Arabidopsis thaliana: one gene and its partners. The protein of the gene in region 1 interacts with the protein of each later gene in a pairwise test. Each region holds a gene or a part of one and is shown in the gene's direction. Other genes may lie near its edges. The genes, in order: AT3G53190, GUT2 and HOS3-1.

Region 1 (9,595 bases):
TGCTCGCAACCTTTGTTCCAAAGTATGTCAGTCTCTCCCACCAAATTATTCGTTGTAACTGCAAATTTTTAACATATGTGTTTTTTCTTCAGGTATGATTATTGTGACATTGGTTCTGGATCACATGTGCATCTAAGTCTTTGGAAAAACGGCGAAAATGTCTTCCCGGCATCTAATAACTCATCTTCTCATGGAATCTCTTCCGTTGGAGAAGAGTTCATGGCCGGAGTTCTATTTCATCTTCCATCAATCTTAGCTATTATAGCTCCACTCCCAAACAGGTAACTCGAAAACCGTACTTTTCGAGTAATTTCCTCAATTGTTATTAAAAGTTGTGTGTGTCACTTAAATTTCCAGCTACGACCGAATCCAACCTAATACATGGAGTGGAGCATTCCAATGTTGGGGCAAAGAAAACCGCGAAGCAGCGTTAAGAGCAGCTTCTCCACCAGGAACTCCTGATGGTTTAGTTACTAACTTTGAGATAAAGTCTTTTGATGGCTCTGCAAATCCTCACCTTGGTTTGGCTGTTATAATGGCTGCTGGTATTGATGGTCTCCGGCGACATCTTCAACTTCCTACTCCAATAGGTAACTAAAAACTTATGTTATTCATTCTCATGTATATGTAGTGTTAATATGAAGCTTGATCTTGAGTTGTTCGGATGGAACAGATATAAATCCGGCGGATGTGGCTGCTACATTGAACAGACTTCCGGAAACGCTCTCAGAAGCTGTTGAAGCTCTGGACAAAGACAAAGTTCTCCACGATTTGCTCGGACAAAAGCTTTTAGTTGCCATAAAAGGAGTCCGTAAGGTAACACTATAGTCTTTTAGTTTCCCATTAGATTCTCAGTGGTAACAAAGTACATTAGCACTAATCTATTGTTTTTGTCTTTTTAAATTTTTTTGTGTAACAGGCTGAGGTCGAGTATTATTCGAAGAATCCGGATGCATATAAGCAACTCATTCACCGATACTAATCCTTTGAGCATCTCTATGATGATTGTTGGATCATTTGGTTTTATTGTGGACTTTGTGTCACATGAAGGGTCGTATTTGCAAAATACTTGACATAAAGATGTGGTTCAGAAAATTAATAAACTAAATTTCATATTTCGAGACGCATGCTCATGCTGGAGTACTATTTGTATTTCTTACTTTTTCGTCCCATGCTTTCAAAAGCCTCAAGAATATACAGAGTATTTTCAATAATACGGAGTAGTTCTTAATCATTTACATTTGTCTATGAATTGAATTTGACTACTAATACTCGGAAACAAAAAAATGATTGTAGTATTAGGAGCGCAAATACCCTTTAACCATTGTTCTTTCCATGTTCTTAGTCCGGCTATTGTTATCTAGGTAGGTGCCTGATCCCTTTTTTTCAAATCTTTCTTATTCATTACTTTGACTAATTAACCTATTTAATCATATTTAATCTCCCTTTAATCTGCAAACTAAAGCACATGTTTTTTTTTATGAAAGAAAAGGTTAGTATGACATTCTTTTGGTAAATCTCATCATATTATTTATTTAATTTTAAGAAATTGGAGTTTAAAGTGTAATTAAGTTATGCTACCTAGCTAATTTCCTTAAAATATGAACGATAAGTATAGAAATTAAAGTAAAGATTAGGTTTATACGGTACGCTTATTATGCTCAAACAAGTGGACGAACAAAATCCATCTCCATGTGACTATGGAAGAGAACTTATTAATAAGTCCAAATTTTTTTCTTGCAAACTTTATGATTTCATTCACACTAGACAAATTAATTGTTCGTAAGAAGGTATACGTACAACATAATGAGCTTTTACTGCTTCCCTTTGCAAACGAATCAGCTAAAACTTTACAGATTTATATGTTCAAGGGAAACTATAACTAAGATTTGAAGGAAAAATCTAACCTTTCTACTACAACAATAAAAGTCAATGCAAGGTCCTTTGAAAAGAATCTTGTTGTCGCATGCATGTACGTAATTTTGTAGTCAAATGTACGAATGATAGATATATGGGGTCAAAACGTTAAAATCCAGCCTAAGAAAGACAGAGATTTACTCTAAATCTTCCAAACCAACGTTATCAATTTTGTTGTTAACATTCAATTGACTTTGCTGTTAATTTTGGATTGTAGAATCGAATTAAAATGAAAATACAAGGTGAAAACGAGACAATAGCGTGAAACTGCTTTGCGTATATATCAAGTATCAACAGTTTTGTTTCGTTTTTGTTGGTTTGCGTTGGGATAAGAAACCGGCATTTTGTACATGGTTCAATTTTGTAATACCTAAACCAATTTCCGGTTTAAGTGGTTTATTAATATGATAAAATAAAATAAATATTTTTTACAAAAATACATAGATAGGACCATGGGTCCATGACGCTTTGACAAGAGCCAATAAAGGATTTACTGTAAAATCAGTAACTTTATTGACAAACAAAAAATGCAGCTATAAGTTGTCCCCACCGTATATTACAAAGATTCGAATACTTTAATAATACAAGCTAAAGAATAAAGAGCAAGAGCCTTTGACTATTTCCACTTATAAGTTTTCCTCCGAGACCGAGAGAGATCAGAGATGGAGCAGATTATTTCACCACGCTCCGGTCAAATATATATTTCTTCTGTTTTAGGCCTCAGCAAAAACCACCTCCATAGTTGTTATGTTGGATACTACGACAATTTAGTGAAGAAGTGGTCTCAATCTAAATTATCATTCTGGATAATGACAAATTGATAAAAGATGCATACTATTACAAAAGTTGAGAAAAGAAGATTACTTTACGTAATGTAGGCGTTTTAATGAACTCCTTAATTTCATCGTTCGTGGAAAATAATAACACAAGCAAAGCAATGACTTTTATGGACACTATGATTGGTTACAATGATCTTATTGAACATGTGAGGAGGCAAAGTGTATATCCTTATATCTATAATGTTTTTTTTTCTTTCTTCTCCAAAGATGTCGCCTAACATCACGTTATTTAACACTACATTTAGCTTACATTAGTAATCTAAAAACAACTTTAATAATAATCCAACAATCACGCCTTATTTAACCAATCCTAATTTATGAAAACATACTCATGTATGATTGTTTGTGCGCATGTGTATATGAGTATATGGACACAGTAGGTTTCTTTCCTTGGTTGGATAGATATGGTTACAAACTTGCAATAGTGGCAGGTAGTTAGACCTGCGGTTCCTAAACTCCGAATAAATACGTGCGGTTCAACTGCAATGCAGTTCTAATAATAACGAATATATATATATATATAGATAATTTTGTTACTATTGGAACATGTGGTTAGGTTACAATTTCAAACCCTAATTATTGATTTTGGTAATTTGGATGTATTCATATTCCTGTTGGTTTTGGTCTACTCAAAATGTTAGTAAATCTCTTATGGGATGTATCGAATTAACTTAAAACTCTTTTTTCTGGTCCAGAAACCCATTAATACTAGCATTCATATTGTATAGCACTATAGCTCGTGGGGTTATTATAACGTCACATCACTTTTTTGTAATAAAAGTTGAAAAACCTGACAAGAATTCAAATATTAAAGCCTATCCTTAGTTAAAATCTGTTAAGGCTTATGAATATCCTTATCTTATGTGAGTAATTAGGTTAATTAGATATTAGTACAATAAAAGAAAAAAGGAAAAATTGAAGACCGTTTCCTCGAGACAAGCAGATTCTCAATCCTCGAGACTGTCAGTGGAAAACAACTTCACTCTCTCTCTTCAAAAAGAAAAACAAAAATACAAAAGCCAAGGAAAGCCATTATTACAAAAGCAATAACACACTGTAAAAAAGCCACTCACGAACACTCCTCAGTAACCAGAGAGAGAAGAAGAAGAACAACAAGCCATGTCTTAACTCTTAACTAATCTCTTCTTCTCCCTCCATTTCACCAACCAAAAACCCTAAAATCCTTAAAATCACAAGTTTCTTCAGCAATGATGCTTCAAAGAAGCTGCATTGTACTTTTCTTCTCTCTTTTTCTGTTGGTTCCACAAATGGTTTTCTCGATGCTCAACAGAACTCTTCTTCTCATACCACATCCTGACCCGGAACTAGTCGCTTATCAAGTTCAGTGGTACACTTACTACATTGCCTCTTCTGGATCTACATTTACTCTCTTTTTTCAACTTCTTTAATGTAATTTTTCCATCTGGTTATTACATTTGACAAGCTATTTTCATGTCTTCTTGTGAATCTGAGGTTTTTCTGTTTTCCTCTGTTTTGTTCTGTTCTCTTAAACCGGAAAGACTTTAATAATACGGTTTGTAACTGTTTTGCAGGAAAGTAAATGCATCTATAACAAGGCGTCAAGCTCTAGACACGACGGACCAGGCCGGTTCGACCCCGTGTATCACCGGTAACCCAATCGATGACTGTTGGAAATGTGACCCAAACTGGCCCAATAACAGACAAGGTCTAGCAGATTGTGGTATCGGGTTCGGACAGTACGCGTTGGGAGGCAAAGGTGGTCAGTTTTACTTTGTCACTGATTCTTCCGACGATGATGCCGTCAACCCTAAACCGGGCACTCTCAGGTACCTTTCTGTTAACCGACTCAACCGGCTTTCTTGTAAGAAAGTCTTGTATAACATCTTGACAAATAGACAAATATGTGTTGTCTTTTATTAGTTCTAGACAATTATATGATCTTTAATTATCGTGTTTTGACCGTAGCTAGATTTTTTTTATGTTGTTTAGTTAACAACACTAACACTATATACTATACTTGAACATTACATGTCATTATTGTTATTAGCTCTAAACCCTACCTACATACACACTTTCATAATTTAAATCCTATAAGAAAATAAGATTCTGTAAGCTATAAGTTAATCTATTCCAAATTTACTTTTCTCTCTCTCTTTTGTCATCTCATATTCACATGTCCCACACCAATCTATTATGTACGACTTTTTCAATACCACTTGTTTATATTTCTAAATAAACCCTCCGTTTTGTGGAATATTTCCCAACAACCCTGATTTAGTGATTTTTCTTTAAATTCTTCAAAACCTCCTCAAAACCCTCTTTAAACATTTAGAGCTGTATAATTTTGATAAACTAAATCCGTTTTAAAACATAGAAACGTAACGTTTACGATGTTTACACTTGATGTCCCTACATTTTAATTTTAACACTGTACCTGAGAAGCGAATCATATAATAAATCTAAAGAAAAGACAACTATAATAAAACAAGTGTATCAGTCTCTTGGGACATGGGACCTCGAATAATTTTGGGGGAATCTTTATCAATGTCAAAGGAAACGGGTTTACAATGTGAAAATTCTTAAAATTTTGGTGACAGATATGGGGTGATACAAGAAGAGCCATTGTGGATAGTGTTCCCAAGCAACATGATGATTAAACTAAAGCAAGAGCTAATATTCAATAGTTACAAGACACTTGATGGGAGAGGAGCTAATGTTCACATTGTTGGTGGTGGCTGCATCACTCTTCAATATGTCTCCAATATCATCATTCACAACATCCATATCCACCATTGTTACCAATCCGGTAATTAGTTTTAGCTCTTTTCACACTTTCTCTTATCTCAAATTATGTATACTCCAAAAATCAATTATCTTTTCTTTTTTACGGCCAATAATTGTTAGTCTTTTAACTTTTTAACCTTTTTTTTTTCTTGCCCTAATAATTTAGTAGGTCCCTTTTGTTGGTGTACATATTTTCCTTCTCATTGATTGGTGTTTTCACACGCAAACAAAGAAAACATGTTTTGTTTGAATTTATATGCATTTATTGATTTATTCATAAAAGTATGGTAAGCAAGAAAAACAAAGTAAAAACTAAATCTTTCGTCCTTCCTGAAATAGCATTGATTGATTATTCATAAAAGTATTCTGAAAATATGTTTGTTCACGCTTTCGTTAGGGAATACTAACGTGCGGTCAAGTCCAACGCACTATGGGTTCAGAACGAAATCGGACGGTGATGGTATCTCTATATTCGGATCAAAGGACATTTGGATCGACCATTGTTCTCTATCGAGATGCAAGGACGGTCTGATAGATGCGGTAATGGGTTCCACAGGAATAACTATATCGAACAACTTCTTCTCTCACCATAATGAAGTCATGCTTCTTGGTCACAGCGACCACTATGAACCAGACAGTGGCATGCAGGTCAAACACACACTAATCCGTAATATACATTTTCTTAGTGACTACTTTATTTTAAATGAGCGTAATATTTGAATGTTAGTGTGATTTTTCAGGTAACAATTGCGTTTAATCACTTTGGAGAGAAATTGATACAAAGGATGCCGAGGTGTCGACGTGGATATATCCATGTGGTTAATAACGATTTTACTCAATGGGAAATGTATGCCATTGGCGGTAGCGGTAACCCGACTATTAACAGTCAGGGTAACCGCTACACCGCCCCAACCAACCCGTTTGCCAAGGAGGTAACTAAACCCTCCGCATGTTTTCTATAGTCTTGGTTCGTTAGTCCATTCTTAGACTTTGCTTTTGGTTTCATGATGTTTTGAGCTATACCAACTTTATTAGGGATAAATATCCAGCTTGTGAAACTTTCATTAATAAGTGTAATCTTTAAAACATTCATCTTACTAATGGAGAGTGTCATTGTGTAGGTGACAAAGAGAGTGGAAACACCGGATGGTGATTGGAAAGGGTGGAATTGGAGATCGGAGGGGGACATTTTGGTGAATGGAGCCTTCTTCGTGGCATCCGGGGAAGGTGCGGAAATGAGGTATGAGAAGGCATATAGCGTCGAGCCTAAATCCGCCTCATTCATCACCCAAATCACATTTCACTCTGGTGTTCTTGGCGTTGGTGGCAGGTTTGGATTCTACATTTTGTCAATAAATGATTCACTCTTTGCCAAATTTTTCCCTTTGAAAAAGAACATTTCATTTTTTAACAAATCAATACTTTGAAACTTTTATTTTACCAACACAAACCATATTAAAAAATGGTATGTCTACATACCCTTTTGTTTTCTTCTACTTTTGGCTTTAACTTTATTCTTTTTCTTTTGTCTAACTTCTTTTTACCCCACTATTTTCATAATTAACCTCAAAAAGTCAAAATGGAGCTAATTTAGGGTGTTTGATTTGGTACAGGAATAACAATCTGGGGATGTGGACTACTACTGGATCGGAAGGTACTAGCGGTTTAGATTCTTATAATGACTATACCGATGAAATGTCTGGCGCTGGTTCAACCAACCGGTTATCTTTTTCAGTTCTTGTTTTCTTGCTAAGTTCGATATCATATTTGGTCGTGTTCACTTCTTCAACCCAAATGTTTATGTTGTAACATGAATTGAATTTACCTATTTTATCAAGGAACAAGCAAAAAGTTGTTTCCATACTCATTCTTGTGCATTCTTTTCTTCTATGATCTTTATGTAGTTTTAATGGACCTCATAATTTGTAGTTTTACAAAATGTTATAGTTCTTAATAATAATACCACGTGTGTGTTTATTGTATACGTATATGCAATCGTGACGTTGTAATAGTCCTATCCTATCTTTAATTAATTACATAACTAATAGTCTAATAGAGATTAGATATTAATCTTTAGCATTATATTATCTTCTTCCTTGTCTTTTCTAATATACAAGAGGGCGTTCCATACATGCATCTACACTTCATTCGGATCATACCAATATAATCTACTTTAGGATATTGTAATTTAGTATATTGAACATTAAATACTTTTCCCTTGAAAAAATAAAATATAAAACATTTTTAACAAATCATTTGGCACAAAAGTACACTAAAACAATTAAAATTAATTCATATTAAAGGTGAAGCCCATCAACCAATAATGTTAACATAAAAAAACTTATAATTTTTCATCATTGGAGCATGGACTTCTCATGTTTTTGTTGCTGTATATAACAAGACTATACACATCAATGCTATATTTTTACTTAATTTGTTATTATGGATATGTACCTTTATTTTTATTTTATTTTATTTTGTTTAGGAAATTGTTTATTGTGTGAAGATTAACAACTTTATCTTTGACCTTGACTAAACTTGCGATTCAAATTTCATATTGATAACCGATTCAAATTGAGTTCAAATTTTACATATTTGTGTACATTAAGGTTGAATATTGGAACACTTGTTACTTTAATATAGCACTTTCGAATTCAATTATCCATCAGTTAAAAAGTAAATAAACCAACTTTAGAATTATGACCATAGAGAACATGAAAACTCCTCAAAGTCCCTAGTCTCTTGAAACCACCAAGTACCAATGTTAATATTGTTCTCACTGCAGCTATTGCTGCTGTGATCTTCTGAAAGATTTGCTTCACTCTGGTCAGTAGAAATCTCTGATATCCAATCCGAAATCCGATTTTCATACGGTGATTTCATAACACCGAAGCTTTCTCTTCCACCAACACCACCGTTGGCTTCTTTACCACTTTCCATGCTCACAACTTCAACAAAACCATGTTCTTGAGACGTCGTCTTTGTCCTAGTGATCTCTGTTTCCTTATACTTGTGCAACAATTCTTCTCCTGTATTTCCTCTCCACTCAAAGAGCTTTCCTGCAGAAAAACACATCATTTTTTTCAATGAATGCTTATCTAAAACTAACATACATATGCAACAATGAAAGAATATCTACCATAGTTTTGAGCTTCCTGTTTCTTTCTATAATGAGTTCTCCAATAGTTCTTTATCTCGTTATCAGTCCTACCGGGTAATCTTCTCGCAATCTTCGACCACCTATTGATATACAATATTTGATTAATCAAACCGCAAAAAACAATCATGTAAGTACAAGATTCAAGGGTTTTTTTTGTCTCTCACTTGTTACCCCATAGAGCATGGAGCTGAAAGATGATTCTCTCTTCTTCTTGACTCATCGGTCCACGCTTCAGAGTCGGATTCAGATAGTTCATCCACCTTAGCCTGCAACTCTTACCACTCCTCTTCAAACCTATACGTATGAACACAACAAACATATATTTCGGACATGTAAATTTCTATTTTTGGAAAGTGACACAAAATAAGGTTTCAAAGTGTACCGGAAACTATTGCTAAAGAATCCCAACGACGTTCTCCCAAAAGACTAATGACCTTCACTAGCCGTTCGTCTTCTTCTTCGAGCCATGGCCCTCTACGAAGTGTTTCTTCCTTCTTAAAATCCATTTTTCTTTCTTTTACTCTGTTTCTTTGTGTTATTATACTTAATTAAATCCTTTCTAAAATTGTGCTTTGAACTTGTAAGCATGCTTTGGCTTTGCTTAAATAGTAAAGTCATGAGTTTACCCAAATTGGGAAAAATGTCCAAAAAGCTGACGAACACAAATAGTTTAGTGGATAATAACATCATGCATCAGTTAGTTAGGTTCTTGTTTTTCCTTGATCTAGGTCATCTTTTAAGTTATAGATTATAGATTTGGATTAGGTTCCAAGTATCTTTCCTTTTGAATCATCATCAACTTGTGATTTTTTATTATCATTGTCTTCAGGGATTATGGCTTTCATCATCTTAAAATTTAATTAACTAATCTAAGTATCCAATCGGGTTTGGATTTTGGAATTTCAATATCTTA
Region 2 (8,397 bases), on another chromosome or scaffold:
CATCTGTATGGAAACGTAACAACATGAAGTAATAATTTTGAGGAAAGAGAGAAGTAATGTTTGCCCAAAAACGAGAGAGAAAAAGAGATTAAATCAAATATGTAATTATTCGTTTTTACTACGCAAACGAGGATCTTACCTAAGTTTATAGATTTGTTACCTTCCTAAGCTTATTGTCAAATTATACTCATCAGCATGGGACATGGACGAGCATTGTGATTTGTGTCCTTACGAGTTGAGAAGAGAAGTAACGAGCAAGGTGCTGCGAAACTTAAAAGAAGAATTGCGTTACCAAGACTTTAGCCCCTGTTGGAGTCTACTATTACAACTTGATTCTATAAATAAAACCCATAACACCTTATTAATCGGGGATTTTAAGTGGAACAATAGGAAACTGCAATCGAATCCTGACATTCAAATGCCATTTTCTAGTCTGAACCAATTATGATAAGTTGAAACAACAAGGATCAAATCCCACGCAAAATGTCTCACCATACATGAAAAATAGCATCAACACTCGATCCAATAACCTTCTCTTCCAGTTTCTTGTTAAGCAGCCGACTTTACAAGAACAAATAGCGACGTCTCTCCTAGTTTCTCCTTTCCCTACAAAACCATTGCAGCCCACATATCTCTTTATAAGCAAATCAGTGTAAGAGATTGGAAGCAGATAGTAAAACAGAGATAAATAAGCTAAACCTTAAGCTCTGGTAACTCAATTACGCAAGCACATTCAACAATCTTCACTCCTACTCGTTCTGCAAAACCAACCAATTGTGGGAGTGAGAAATAGTCAAGTTTAACTGAACTGCATATGCTGCATTATCAAATCTTGGACTTACCAAGTAGTCGGATTGCAGCAGCGAGAGTCCCACCCGTGGCAATGAGGTCATCAATAATAATAGCACGCTCACCAGGCTCTACTGCACCTACGTGCATCTCAATCGTATCTGTTCCATACTCCAACGAATACTCCTCCGAAATAACCTTCCCTGTTAAAGGAACCAAATGCAGAGGCAGTTTAGAAATTAACGTCCATGGATAAACAAGGAATGCGACAATTATTTGACACTGCTCATAAGTTTCCAAATGGCTTAATACATTTCTTGTAACTGGTCAAGATACACAACTAAGTCCATTGATATGTAACAGAAAAAATAACAACCACTTAAGTTACTGCAAGTTACCACAAAGAAAAATGATCTAGCAAATGAGTAGCATCATATTGATCAAAGACACTGCAAGATAAAAGTCACCTTGCTAATGTTCGAGATAATGATAAAGTGTAGACTTGGAGCAAGAAGCCATTTAAACTAACAACTTCCTAATTGAGACCTTTCATGTAACTTAATGTCAAAATCACAAGCAACTAGAGGAAGAAATAAAAATGTACCAGGTAGCTTCTTGGGCTTCCTCATGGGAACAAATTTGGCACCAATAGCCAACGCAATAGGAGGGCCAAAAATGAAACCTCTAGCTTCAACACCTGCATTTACCACAACATCAATTTAGGCAGAACCAAAAATCATCCACCAATTCATTTCAACTTTTCAGTTTAAGCTAAAGCACTCAGTATCTAAAAAGGCCAAAAGAAACTAAATCCACAAGCTGTTAATCGATTGGAGTACCAAACAGAACCATACGAGTTGTTACCTGCAACAACAGATATGCCTTTATCTTTGTATCTATCAACAAACAAAGCAATAGTATCCTTAAAGGCCTCAGTGTCGAGAAGAAGCGTCGTTATGTCCTGAAACATGATTCCTGCCAAGTATCCAAATTAAAACCTTAAGATCCCAACGCAGATCAAGACTAGAGACGATATTAATCGGTATAAATGGAAAAAATGGAGACCTGGTTTAGGGAAGTCGGGGATGACTCTAATGGAAGAGGCAATCTTAGCGATTCTGGGATCTTGCACATCTTCAGTCGCCATTTCACTGTCCCGACTGGCTGCTGCTTTAGCAAAATACTCGGCGTCAGATTTGCAAACACAGAGAGACCCTAAAGACTCAATAGAGAGACACAGTGATGAAAAAATGACCAATTTATCCCGAATGGTAACGCTTTGACGGAATTGCCCCACGCAAGCAAAATATCTTTTTCAAAAGGAAACAAAAAGTTTAAAAGGGAAATAGAAGGTGGTGGGGTCTACCGGCGGAGGAGAAGAGGCGGAGTGAGGTGGTTGAACGGTGGTTTGAGAGGCGGATCGAAGGAGGAGCACGGTGGTGGTTGTTGAGAAGACGGTTGCAAGGAACAGCACGAGCAAGACAGAGACGATGAGAAACAAGTGGAGAAATTATTATTGTTTGCATTGTCTTTGGACTGAGAGATCTTAAAAGAGAATGTAAATTACTTTAAACACGGAATAATGGACAAAAGCCGTGATCAATGACTTTTCAAGTCTTAACCAAACCTATAACTCATCCATTGTTTGTTTTTTCTACATATTTCTTCACATAAAATTGGATGATTTAGAATCTTTCAGAGTGTTCACACTCCAACAGATTATTATCCACAATGTTATGGTTACATTTAGAGATATATAACAATGTTCATTTCATCGTTGCTAATGACATAAAACGATCAAAAACTGAATCATAGTACTTCTTTTACAGTGATCTCAAATATATTAATCGCTAATCAATGAATTATGTCACCTATAATTGTCGTATTACCAACAACTATAAAACATATATATAAAAAATTGTTGTCGTTAACTAGTTGTTGATAGTGGCCACTCTAAAACGATCATGACCTACTACGGAAGTTATAACTAGTCAACGTTGGACGTTAGCAAGGCCCAATGGACATTAACTCAGCCCATAATAGCACGCGCCTTGTGATGTGCACCAGTTTCCGTCTTTGGTCGTTGAATTCAAGGAAAAAAAAAGTACATCACAAGCAATTTCTTACTTATCTGTGACTTGAAGCTATTTCTCCAATTTCGTTTTCCATCGACACTCTATTTCATTTTCACCATTCACGTCTTCCTTCTGAATAAAATAAACCCTAAAACCTAATACCGAAGTAAACTCGTCAACCACTGCGCCCATGACCTCCCAACGATACTCTTCCCTTATATTCTTCCTCTTCCTTCTTCCTTTCTGCGATCCAAACCTTCAAACACATCTCCGGTAGATATGAAAATCCACTCTTGCCTCTCCGCCATTCTTCTGTTCCTCTTCTTCTCTGCTTCTTCCGCTAAACAAAATGTTCGGACAGAGCGAATTTCAGGTACTTGTTCTTCTTGCTCCAGCAGATTGGAATGTAGAGTTGAATTGATTAATCCTTGAGGGTCGCTCAAATAAGTTTGAAATCTGTCGTTTCTCCAGCATTTGGTTTATAGACATATAATTTGATTTGCTTAAGAAGTCAATGCTATTGATTGAGGAACTATGTAACAGCTGTGTAAGAGAGCTCAAAAAGGTGTGTTTTTGAAATGCAGGAAGTGCTGGTGATGTTTTGGAGGATGATCCAGTGGGAAAGCTTAAGGTTTATGTATATGAGCTTCCAAGCAAGTACAACAAGAAATTACTGCAAAAGGATCCTCGATGTCTTACACACATGTTTGCTGCTGAGATTTTTATGCACAGGTTCCTTTTATCTAGTCCTGTTCGAACGCGTAATCCTGATGAAGCTGATTGGTTTTACACGCCAATTTATCCTACTTGCGACCTCACTCCTACCGGCTTGCCATTACCGTTTAAATCGCCGCGTATGATGAGAAGTTCGATACAACTAATCTCATCAAATTGGCCTTATTGGAATCGGACTGAAGGAGCTGATCACTTCTTTGTTGTGCCCCATGACTTTGGAGCTTGCTTCCATTATCAGGTAGATTATCTCTGCATTCAGGAACAAACTCTATTTTTTATATGCATTGAATACTTTGGTGGTTGCTGTTCATCAAGAATACCCTGTGATCTTACAATGATAGATGATCATTAGCTTAAAATTAGCTGTTGTATCATCACATTAGTACTTAGTTACATGGAAACTGAGAATCTGTTTATGAGTTTATTGTATAAGATTGTGGAATATTCCAATGATTTGTGTGGGAATTGAAGATTTGATTGACATTAAACAGGAGGAAAAAGCCATTGAAAGAGGGATACTTCCACTACTCCAGCGTGCCACTTTGGTTCAGACATTTGGTCAAAGGAACCATGTCTGTTTGGACGAAGGCTCGATCACTATTCCTCCTTTTGCACCTCCACAGAAGATGCAGGCCCATTTTATTCCTCCAGATATTCCACGCTCTATCTTTGTCTACTTCCGCGGTTTATTTTATGATGTTAACAACGACCCCGAAGGTGGATATTATGCAAGGTACATATTTTGTAGACTTGTAAAACTCTCAAGTGATGAGTTTTCTCTAGTCTTACATAGATTTTTCAACCAAAATGGAACTGCAAACTCTATAGTATCATACAATAAAAGAAGCACATATACATCAAGATCTACCTATTAAGATAACAATTAAGCATTCCTCATTAGGAAGTTAGGTTATATATAAGGTTAGCTAAGATCAAATTGTTTTAGAATCTGCTGACTGGAACTTCTCTCTTTGTATAGAGGTGCAAGAGCAGCGGTGTGGGAGAACTTCAAGAACAACCCTTTGTTTGACATCTCAACAGATCACCCGACAACATACTACGAAGACATGCAGAGAGCCATCTTCTGTCTATGTCCTCTAGGATGGGCTCCATGGAGCCCTAGGTTAGTTGAAGCAGTTGTGTTTGGGTGCATTCCAGTTATCATAGCAGACGACATAGTACTGCCTTTCGCAGACGCCATCCCCTGGGAAGAAATAGGAGTCTTTGTTGCGGAAAAAGACGTCCCTGAACTAGACACGATCCTAACCTCAATACCAACAGAAGTGATCCTCAGAAAACAGAGACTCCTCGCAAATCCTTCGATGAAACGAGCCATGCTTTTCCCTCAACCTGCACAACCAGGGGATGCATTCCATCAGATACTTAACGGGCTAGCTCGGAAGTTACCCCACGACAAAAGCATATACTTGAAGACAGGTGAGAAGGCACTGAACTGGACTGCTGGTCCGGTTGCTGACCTGAAACCTTGGTAAAGTCAGAAAGAGAGGAATCTTTTTGTATATCTTGGGTTTCACCTAGAGCATACGTTGTTGCCTTTCTATAGCACTTCAAAAACATTAGAAGTCCAAGTCCTCCGAGTGGATTTTTTTTGTAGATAACATTAGTACATTTACTCGAGGTACATGTACCAAGTTTGTTGTACATTTTCTCTTCGATTGATCATATAATACTGTACACTCCTTTTGTCTTGGCTAACTCCAATCATGTAAGTTTCAATGTCCAATAACCTGAAAAGTTATGAAAACATGTGGTAATTAATTTTGTTGTGAATCAAATTAGAATCCTTATTAAAAAAGAAAATTATTTATTCAAAAAAAGCTCGTAGATGAAATGGGCCTAAAGTCTACTAAATGGGCTGATTGAAGGAAAAACTCGAACTAATCTAAGATCTTTGCTCTTGAGAGAGAACGAGAGAGGCGGCCATGGGAGGAGGAATGGGTGCGTTTTGGGGAACTCGAGTGATGGAATTAGTGAAGAAGCACGATTCCGGTGGTCTTCTTTGGAAGCGGATCAAGCTAACCCCTACTCGTAAAGCCAATGCCAAAACCCGCCTCCGTCGTGTTTGGCAGGTACTCTCCTATTCCATTTTTAGGGTTTATGGGTTTTTGAGAGAACATTTCTCTTTTCGTAGTCTAGATCCTCTTATCTGCGTTCACTTCCCTACAATTACCCGCCAAGGATAGATTAGGATTGAATGTATTGATGGATTTTTCGTGTTGAAAGTATTGATGGATTCATTTCAAGATCATCAGTTTCGATTGCAAAATGTTGTTCAGTCTATTGTGATGTGCTCTCCTTAGGTCTGAGTAGATGTAATGAGTTAGGACAAGGCCAACTGTGTAGTTTGTTCTTGGTATATGGCCTTTAGGCTTCTATGTATCTTTCTGTGGAACTAGGAACAGAGTAGGAACACTTGGAATTCATTTTTCCCGGTTTGGTGTTTGGTATCATGCAAAGGTTGTCCATCTCTCAATATGCTTGTGTTATTTTCGAGCTATTTTGGGCTATCTTGTGCATCACAGTGTGTTATACATTTTTTGGTAAAGCTTGTCGATCTACCAAGATGTATGTGGTGATTTTGAGCTCATACCACCTAGGAATTTATAAATATTATAAGACCCAACCCTCCTATATATTCTTCGACGCAAGTATTGTTTTAATAGTTATGAGAGTCTCTTGCAGAATGAGGCTGTTCTAAGGGCGTGTGGTGAATCAGATGCACCAAATCCGCCGGGAGCTAGCAACACAAAAAGCTCTAGCAATGCGGTGAAAAATGCGTAAGGCCGAAGAGAAGCTAGTCCTAGTTTGTAAGGACTCGTAGATCAAGTCTCTGTCGTTACCTGATTTTACAAAAATAATATTTGAACCTTGTGTTTGGTTATTAGTTTTGCAAAAGAAGAGGCACCTCCACACCAAAGCAAAATATGGTATTTGAGTATTGGTGTTTTTTTTTTTATTATTCTTGTCATCAAGAAATTTGTTCGTCGCCTGCTCAATATAGTTCTTTTGGCTACACCCGTTTATCCTTGTCGTGCCTTAGTTATGTTGGCCGTTTAGTGGCTACAAGTGGATATGTTTGTGGAACATTTTTGAAAATCACTTGAAGCACTCTTTTGTTTTTGTTTCTCCGGTTGATCGAAAAAAAGTTTTTGTTTTCTCCGTGATTTTTTTCCTCCGTAATTACATGTTGAAACAACAGGTGAAAATAATCTTGTTGAAAAGTTTCAAGTATTTTTAAACCATCAGTAAATAATTTTTTTATTCAGTTACCACTTTTAATATATTCCTTCTCAATGTATACTATCAAAGTGAAAAAAATACCACTATTATACTCATTAGACCTTTAATGAAACTTTTGATAAAATATTTAAATTGGAACAAAACAGTAAAAGGAAAATAATACTGGAAAATTAAAATGAATACATTAGATGTTTGAATAGAAAGTATAGCATTAATAAATAAACAATGATAAATTAAATAAAAGAAAACCTGGGGTTGACAAAAAAAAAAATGAAAGAAAAAACAAAAAACTGGGCAAAGTCGGATCGGTGTTGTTAAACAAGCAAAGCCCTCCTTAGCCTTTCCTTCCTCTTGCTCCTTCACTCACTCTCGATCTCGACGCGAAATAGCTTTCTCTCTTCCAAAGGCAATTATCGAAAACCTGCAAAAAGTTTCTCCGCCAAGTCTCTCCAAAACCCCTTTCTCATCTCTACTTTTCTTCTTCTTCTTCTTCTTCTACTGCGCTCGCTCCTCGCTCCTCCGTCTCCGTCTTCAACGTAATCTCGAAGTCGGTTGTTTCAATCCTGCCATGGCCGAAGGGAAGTTCGATCTGCCTGACGATCTCATCTTTTCCAAATCTTCTGATCAGCTCAAAGGTACTTCTCTCAATCCTCCTCTTGTTTCTCTTTTTGAATTTCTTTCTCTCTCGACCGATTTGAATGCGGAGAAACAAATGTAATCGTTTGGATTCTGGATCTGAATTCGATAGGATGCGGCAGCTATGAATATCAAACAGATTTATCAAAATTTGACCTAGTATGTGCTGATTAGGGCTACGATATCAATTTTATCCTCTATGGTCCTTGTTATGCCCGCTTTAGACGCATTAGCAACTCCATGTTTGAATTCTTTTGTTACCGATTCTAGACTTTGGGATCTGGAAAGATGAACCAATGACTTTGTTCGTGCCTCTAATTTGGCTATTAGTGGTTTTCTGACTTTGTATCTGTTTGATTTCTCTGATTTCCTTCACCTATTGACTACCTTGTTTTTGCAGAATTGGCCTCAGATAACAGCATTCCCTTGTCTCCGCAGTGGCTTTACACGAAATCAAGCGAGTACAAGATGGTAATACTTAATCTAGAAAGATGATATACGTTTCTTGTCTTCTTCTATTCACCTCATTGTATCAGATGATGCTATGCCTGTTCTTCACATGTAGAAAGTGTCAAGTCCTTTATTTATCTGTAAATTGTTTACTCTTAGTTCTTCATCTGATGTTCTTGCTATGTTGTAGGATGTTCGATCTCCTACTCCTGTTCCCATGGGAAATCCAAGTGACCCAAATCCGAAGGATGCATGGCGCTTGGATGCACCTGAAGACAAAAAGGACTGGAAGAAAATTGTGCATGAGAATGAAACTAGTCGCAGATGGCGTGAAGAGGAAAGAGAAACTGGTTTACTCGGTGCTAGGAAAGTTGATCGACGAAAAACAGAGCGTCGTATTGACAGTGTCTCAAGCAGAGAAACTGGTGACATTAAAAATGCTGCTGCTTCT
Region 3 (7,690 bases), on another chromosome or scaffold:
TATTTAAAATCAATTTTTTACTCATATAAGTAATAAAATTTTATGGTGTATAATCAATGTGTAATGGCTTCCGTTCTTTTCGGAATATCCGTGTCTTGTGGTGTTGGTACAGGTAGCGTGAAAAATTTAGGATTTTTATTCTCACTTTCTTAATAATATCTTTCATTTTTTTTTTTTTGTGAATCTATGTTTTCAGTTCATTTCCTATTCATATATGCCATGTGCTGATGTGCATAGATTCGTCTAATAAGAATATCACATTATAAAAAATATTCTAACGTACGTGAAAATTAGATGTACCAAAATGGTTTATGTGATGTCTCATGTCTTAATTAGACCGAGATAATCGTTGAGTCGGAACTATGTAGTATAAAATAAGTTTGTTGACATAGCAAGGCATATTTAAACAGGGTTTACATGATCTTGATTTAAACACACACTAAATTTTTATTATCTCCATCACCATCAAATTTGAATCAGCAGTACAACCAAGATAACATGTATTTGGATTTAAACGTAAATATCAGGTTTATCATTTTAATTCTACGTGTTTATAAATTATAGAGAAAATTATATTTTAATTCTACGTGTTTATCATTAATTTTATTATTTATTTTTTCAACATGTTTATCCGGTGATGCTATTTTGAAAAACAAATTTGTAGATAAAACAGAAAATGTGGCGACACGTCCGTGTGTTTAAATTTACTGAATTACCTAACCAGACACAGTAGTTACATCCACATTACATCACATTTGTTATCTCTTTATTAGGTGTGCAAAGGATAAAAACGAAAAATGTGGCAACACGTCATTGTTTCAAATATTTACTAAGTTTTCCTTATATAGACATTATTACATCTCAAAAAATCATCTCTTCAACATTACCATTTACTACTAGATGCAAGAGATAATAACAAGATAAAACAGAAAATGTGGCGACACGTTTTTGCCTTTCTTTTTAATTCTGTTGTGTAATTTACTCATAGTCAAATAAGTTATCAAGATATTATATCTTTTTAAAATTTAATCGGACGGTTATTGAGGCATCGAAAGCTATCACCAACATAAATCTATCCACGTGGACGGTAGTCACCTATCAATATTCACGAAAAGGCAGCGTTTATTGAATTTCTCGTGATATATCTGCTGACGTGTATAAGGCCCCACAAGATTTATGTTAAACGTAAAATTAAAACTGTAACAGAGAACTTTGGTTACCTATATAAAGCTCGCTCTTGCTGTTTCATTTTTTCAAGTAGTAACTGAAATCGAATTCATTTTCTTCTCTTCCTTTCTGGGATTTCGATTTTTCGTATTTTTTTTTTGTTCTGTTCGTCATGGTGATGATGAAGAAGCTTTTGTCGAACCGTTTGTTCAATATGTCAAAAACGGCGTCGCAAAGTCTCATGAACTGTCGTACTTCGTCTTCTTCTTCGTTAGCCATGCGAACTAGGGTTCCTAAAGATATAGGAGAAGCCACGATTGATCCAGAGCCTGGAGATTTGACGATTTCTCAGAGGTTTTTGAATAAATTCTCCATGAATGGGATTGATACGACTTCGAAGATGTCTATTGGGGAGAGTCTGATGGAGAAGCTTAAAGAAATGGATATGAACAAGGATCGGATTCGATTAGACGGACTTTCTCATCCGAAGGAGGAGACGTTAGGGCTTACTGTGCAAGACGTGAAGAAGTTGCTAAGAGCAGCAGAGATCGAAGTTATTAAAACGAAGCTGATGGAGACAGGAAAAATCTGGATTCGTTACTCAGATTTCTTAGGTGTTTGTAGTGATTCTTCTTTGGATCCTTCTCAAGGAGCTTTGATCGCTAAGATGCTTGATGATTCAGGAAACGTTATCGTTATGGGAAACTCTGTTTGTTTAAGACCTCATCAGGTAACTTCTTCCTCCTCTTTGCTTTTTTTTACCATTTGAATTCTTTTTTGTCTATGCAATTCTCTGATAAGGTCTTGTGTGTTGATCAGTTAACCAAATCCATAGAGGGGCTTCTTCCTTTATCACAAATCCATAACCCGAATGACCCAAGAAGAAAGGAGCTAAATGAGCTTGAAGCTATAAAGACGGTCATTGACCAAAAAGCACATTCTTTGGTGAGAAGAGAGCTTTGGGCTGGTTTGGGTTACTTGATCATCCAAACCGCAGGGTTTATGAGGCTAACGTTTTGGGACCTGACATGGGATGTTATGGAACCGATCTGTTTCTATGTCTCATCGGTATATTTCATGGCGGGTTACACATTTTTCCTCAAGACATCGAGAGAGCCTTCCTTTCAAGGTTTTTACCAAAGCAGGTTTGAGGCTAAACAAAGGAAACTGATGCAATCTGAGGATTTTGATGTTGGGAGGTATGATGAGCTGAAAAAGCTGTTTAATCCCAAGCCTTCAGGTGCTGTTCCCAAGATTCTTGGATCTCTACAGAATTGATCATTGGTGTCTCGTTGTCCTACTAACCTGAGAAAGATATATTGACCCCCAAAATTGTGTCAAACTATAATTTTTGAATATTTCATAATCTTTCTAGGAAAATAGGAAAAAGACAAAAAAAAAAAAAAAAAGTTCTATTAGTGCGGCTTATGTAATTTGGAAGAGTAGATAAAAGAATCGATTGTGATGTAGATTTATAAATTTCAAGTCTGACTTTCTGAATGTTAAATGTTACAATACTTCCATGCATATGCATATGAGATATCATTACTTTAAACATGTTATCTATACCAAAAACTCAACAAAACCTTGTCATTTGAGGCCTAAATCTTAGTTGAAGCCAATTCCGAAATTAGTTTTAGTTTTAACTTAAATGATTTTTAGTTTATAAATTAAACAAGTATAACATATGCTTAATGATTGTTTCGGCGGGCTTACATAAATGATTGATAGAACATGTTATGCGTGGGAGTAGTCGTTGTAAGTTCACCGTCCAAGTCTCCTTTTAATTAATTCACGAGAAATCAACTACGACCGTGTAAATAAAATACTTAGTTTGGTAGGTCAAGAATCACTTCTGGAAAATGAGACTAAAGAAAAGAGTCACTTGTGGAAAATACTATCAAGTGGACAAAACCAAATTCCTCATAGTGAAAAAGAGATATATTACACTGTTCCTGCCGCATTTGTTTGGTACGTATCTAATATTTTTGTTTACTCACGTGGTACTATAACGCTTATTGCCAATATAACGATTAGGACAATTTGATTTCTACTAATTTTATTTGATACGTATCAAATATCTTCTGTCTTAGCTGGTCATCAAATTGTGTGAAATAGTAATTTAATACTAACTCGTTACTGATTACTGATGTAGATTCATCTTCGTAACGATCGCCCGATCCATATTCCAATATTTGCATTTTGTTTTACGTAATGCACTCTTTCTCATCTGTAGCTCCTTGAGTAAAACTTAAAACTTAACCATGAAGGCATCTGTAAATTGACGCTTGTCTGAATTTCTCAACACCAAACTCTCTTTCGTGTCTAGAGGTTCTTTGGTTTTCCCACCTGCTTTTCGATTATGGTAATGGTCAACTTGACGCGTACCAAGTTTTCTGATCTTTTTGAAGATATTTCAAATATGGTTTGCTATTTCGATTTTCGACAATAACAGTAAAACCCCATTAAGACCATAAATCTTAAAAATTTTCATAACCGTTTTACAATATTCATTTATGTAGCCAAATTAAATTTGTCACGTAAATGTGACAATTAATATTGGTCCACATCATTTTGCTTTCATGACAAGACCGGCCATTTAGTGACCTACTGTATGTTCTACAACAATTATTGGAAAATGGAAATTAAATATCCCAACAAAAAAAATAAGAGCAGAAACAGAGATTCACTTTGCGAAAAAGTCGCACGCACACATATAAAAGACAGGACTAGAGGAACAGAGGAAGAAGAAGAGTCACTGTGATCACCACCACCGTACGATCAAATTCAAACTATGTCAACGGCTCTGATTAACTCTATTACCTACTTCCTCTCCGAACATCCATACATCGTCGGATTCCGTTGGAGTAACAGCCAATCATGGGGCTCCACGTGGTCTTTCCTCTTCACATCAATCTCCCTCTATATCGCCGTCTCATCCTCCCTCCACATCCTCCTCTCCGCCGTACGCCGAAGTAACCGTTCCGTTCCTTTAGGTCACATCCCCGAAATCCACAGCCTTCTCATGTCGATCCTCTCCGCCACCATTTTCGCCGGAATCCTCCTCTCCGCTGCCGCAGAGATCCGTGACACACGGTGGTTATGGCGGCGGAGCAAAACCGCCACTCCTCTCCAATGGCTTCTCTGTTTCCCTCTCGGGACTCGTCCCTCTGGTCGTGTCTTCTTTTGGTCATACGTGTTTTACCTCACGCGCTTTCTCCACATGTTCCGTACGATTTTCGCCGTTTTACGTAGCCGGAGGCTCGCCGTGTCTCAGCTCTTTTGTAACTCCGTCATGGCCTTCACGTCTTTCCTCTGGCTAGAATTCTCGCAGTCGTACCAGATTCTAGCGATTCTATCGACGACTCTGGTTTACTCGGTGGTTTACGGTTATAGATTCTGGACCGGGTTTGGTTTACCCGGTTCGGCTTTCCCTTCGTTTGTGGTGAATTGTCAGTTGGTTCTCGTGGGCTGTAATCTCGTGTCTCACGCTGGGGTTCTTACGATGCACCTCTTTAAAGGTGGATGCAATGGGATTGGCGCGTGGGGTTTAAACTCGGTTCTCAACGGTGCGATTTTGTTGCTTTTTCTTAACTTTTATGTGAGAATGCATTCGCCAATGCGACGCCATATTAATAAAATGAATAGCCAACGTAACGCTTAAGAATTAATTGATCCTTTTTACTAGTTTTTACTTTTTACTCAATAAAACAAATCTAATCTTCTTTTTTGTCTTTCACTTTTAAAACTGAAGTATAATCTAATTTGTTTTCTAATAACTAAAATGTTCTGCGTCTAGGTCTGTACATCTTCTCAAACCGGGACAATTTTTTTTTTATAAACCATCGATCTCTGACTTTGCATGAGATATTTTACATTTGAACTATTGGCTCTTAGTTAACGCAATCTAGTTCTTGTTTTTCATTCTTTTAAATCTAGTTTTGTGTTTTTTAAGTGGAAAGAAATTATGTCGATTATTTATAAATATATCTTTAAAAATATTTATTTATTTCATAAGAGGTTTTTGATCCAAAGACTCAAACTTGGGGTAACTTTATGACGTAGATATACCACAATACCCACCAAAATGTGGTGATAGAGGAAACAAAGGTTTACATGGTGGATCATGGACGAGGATGATCAAAAGCTTATACTCTTTACCAAGTGAAAATGCATTTTGGATAAGAGGAAAAATTATTAAAAGCGAGAAAACATAATATGGTTTGAGACTGATGTGTTAGATTGTAAGAGCTGCAATTGTATCTCTCTACTTGGGGACACACTTTTGATTTTCTATTTACCGTTTGAATGCCGTATAAGGAAATGTACAGGTCAAACGAATATGGTCGAGTGTTCGCCTTAGACCATTGTATAAGGAAATGAACTATGTCGACTATATTTAATATTTGGGCCTAGTATAATATTACTACACTTAATCAAAGTTAAGGCATTTATAACTGTAGAACAAGATGGGCCTAAGGCCACGGTTTTCTACTTAACTAGGCACACATATGACATATCCCATAGTAAAAAAGCTTACATAATAAGGCCCACATCTGAAATCTGATTCTCCACTGTAAAAATAAAATCCTCTTAAGCTCTCGATCGATGGTTCTGCAATCTCACAAACCAGAAACAAAGAGTCCAGGCTCTTGCAACCAACCGCGGAACTTGTTGAAAGGCGACGAGGAGAGAGAATTTCAAATCTCTCCAGATCAAAGTGAAACACAAGTACAACAAGTAACCGACAAAGTGAAGCGCAAGTACTTGTTTCTTTCCTTTTCCTTTAATATTTGTTAATTTGAGAAAAGTAAAAACCATAAAATATATATAGTTTCTGTCCGAATCGGCCTATCTTCACAAAATCTCGATTCCAATCAAGAATTTATGGCAAGAAAGGTCGATCAATCAATCAGATGATTATGGATCTAGAGATCTCTAAATTTGTGTTGTTGTGAATTGAGAATGCGAGAGCATTCGACGATGTACAATTACGCCCCCGAAGTGCCACCGCAAAGTAAAAGGAAGAAGACGATGAATGAGGCGTCTCCGTCGTGGTCTGGATTACCGGATTCTGTGGCTGTGAGTTGCATGGCTCGCGTCTCGAGATTGGACCAAACAGCCTTATCTCTCGCTCCAAGAAATACCGCTCTCTCGTAACATCCCCTGAGCTCTGCAGCACGCGATCGCTGATTGGTTGCACTGAGCCATCTTTCTTCGTCTGCTTGCGCATCTTACCTGATCCAACCCCTCGCTGGTTCGTCCTTACGGGTAGTCGTCGACTGAGGCCGGTCCCATCGCACCCCTATCAGGCTCCGGAATCATCTTCTTTTGTGGTAGTGAATTGGGGGATCTATGTTATGTAATCGGTGGAATCATAAACGGCAATCCCACTTCCGATGTCTTGTTCCTCAACTGTTTTTCTCAGACATGGCACCGCGTCCCGTCTATGAAGATGGCTCGTGCTTCCGCATCGGCAAGCCTCATAGACGGGAAGATCTACGTTTTTGGAGGGTGCCCAGAGGACGCTGATTCCTCAAACTGGGCGGAGGTATTCGATCCAGTTTACCAAACTTGGGGTATATTTAATACGCCGAAGATGGCCCATAGTATCAACCAAAGTGTGGTGATAGAGGAGAAGAAGGTTTACGCCGTGGATGAGGAGGACCAAAGCTTTAGCTTCTTGCCAAGTGAAGGTAGAATCTGGAAAAGCGGAAAAAAAGATTCTAAGGTAGGAAGTAGACACGATTGGTGTGTCATTGGGAAATTACTATACTGTCGTGCTACTCGCGGTAGAATACTATGGTGCCAACCAGATGAGTTGGACTGGAAAGAGGTAAAAGGTTTGGAACAGCTACAATTGTATCTCTCTGGTACAAGATACATCTTCAGACGTACCTCTGATAAACGACCGTCAAAGACCAACGTCAAATATGATATTAGAAAAATCTCTAGTAACTCTGCTGGGAACATTGTCATCTTCGGGAACGCACATATTGGAGACCCTGAGTGTGTGGAGCTTTGGTCTGCCGAGATTTCCATGGAGAGGCGCGAGGGAGGTGAGATTTGGGGGAAGATTGAGTGGTCCAATGTTGTCTTCAAACTTGATCCTCTCTCAAACTCATATAGCGTTGATGTCTTATTTTCTGCTTCTGTCCATTTGTGATATATTCATTCCAATATTTATTTGTATTGCATATTACTCAACGAATCAGATTGTGGGATATAAGCATATAGTAGGCAATTAATCATTTAACAGTAACAACATAACAGTTAGAGCCTCTTTCTTTTAAGAGGTATGTGGTGGAATTTGATGCTGAATTCTCATTAATGACTCGTTACCAACATAACAGGTAAAACCAACGTATCTTGACCCTTCTAGAAGCTAAGCCTCTCTATGCTTGTGCATCCTCAACTGCTATAGCAGCATGCATGATGCTTCAGCTGCTCATGAGTGTGTAGGAGCTGCAGAAAACTAATCTTGGACTCCTCCTATAAGGATCACACCCAAGGAGAATCTTGG

The links.
Region 2: the proteins of AT3G53190 (region 1) and GUT2 interact in a protein complementation assay, tested with the Arabidopsis thaliana proteins (one large-scale study listed by BioGRID).
Region 3: the proteins of AT3G53190 (region 1) and HOS3-1 interact in a protein complementation assay, tested with the Arabidopsis thaliana proteins (one large-scale study listed by BioGRID).

What each region holds. Positions count from the first base shown.
Region 1 is NC_003074.8:19,710,207-19,719,801, forward strand, and holds AT3G53190 (Pectin lyase-like superfamily protein), read left to right. Parts: upstream 1-3,592; 5' UTR 3,593-3,964; coding exon 3,965-4,104; intron 4,105-4,309; coding exon 4,310-4,564; intron 4,565-5,335; coding exon 5,336-5,544; intron 5,545-5,919; coding exon 5,920-6,170; intron 6,171-6,262; coding exon 6,263-6,454; intron 6,455-6,643; coding exon 6,644-6,852; intron 6,853-7,135; coding exon 7,136-7,331; 3' UTR 7,332-7,534; downstream 7,535-9,595. Other genes in the region: NodGS (nodulin/glutamine synthase-like protein), read left to right, coding at 1-22, 93-281, 358-590, 674-816, 920-982; MYB27 (myb domain protein 27), read right to left, coding at 8,220-8,581, 8,662-8,762, 8,847-8,976, 9,065-9,188.
Region 2 is NC_003070.9:9,525,960-9,534,356, reverse strand, and holds GUT2 (Exostosin family protein), read left to right. Parts: upstream 1-2,867; 5' UTR 2,868-3,143; coding exon 3,144-3,237; intron 3,238-3,448; coding exon 3,449-3,837; intron 3,838-4,090; coding exon 4,091-4,332; intron 4,333-4,578; coding exon 4,579-5,092; 3' UTR 5,093-5,390; downstream 5,391-8,397. Other genes in the region: APT1 (adenine phosphoribosyl transferase 1), read right to left, coding at 550-606, 700-758, 843-992, 1,319-1,486, 1,654-1,764, 1,855-2,004, 2,156-2,315; AT1G27435 (uncharacterized protein), read left to right, coding at 5,543-5,689, 6,303-6,401; AT1G27430 (GYF domain-containing protein), read left to right, coding at 7,429-7,495, 7,897-7,967, 8,137-8,397. UniProt on the Arabidopsis thaliana protein: Involved in the synthesis of the hemicellulose glucuronoxylan, a major component of secondary cell walls. Probably involved in the elongation of glucuronoxylan xylosyl backbone, especially in the formation of GlcUA side chain of xylans.
Region 3 is NC_003075.7:17,345,550-17,353,239, forward strand, and holds HOS3-1 (GNS1/SUR4 membrane protein family), read left to right. Parts: upstream 1-3,668; 5' UTR 3,669-3,961; coding exon 3,962-4,736; coding exon of another isoform or gene 4,737-4,831; exon of another isoform or gene 4,832-5,078; intron 5,079-5,232; coding exon 5,233-5,384; 3' UTR 5,385-5,614; downstream 5,615-7,690. Other genes in the region: AT4G36820 (calcium uniporter (DUF607)), read left to right, coding at 1,340-1,897, 1,987-2,445; AT4G36840 (Galactose oxidase/kelch repeat superfamily protein), read left to right, coding at 6,617-7,333. UniProt on the Arabidopsis thaliana protein: Probable very long-chain fatty acid (VLCFA) elongase that controls VLCFA composition and functions to inhibit abscisic acid (ABA)-mediated stress responses, including regulation of stomatal aperture, maintenance of primary root growth and inhibition of germination.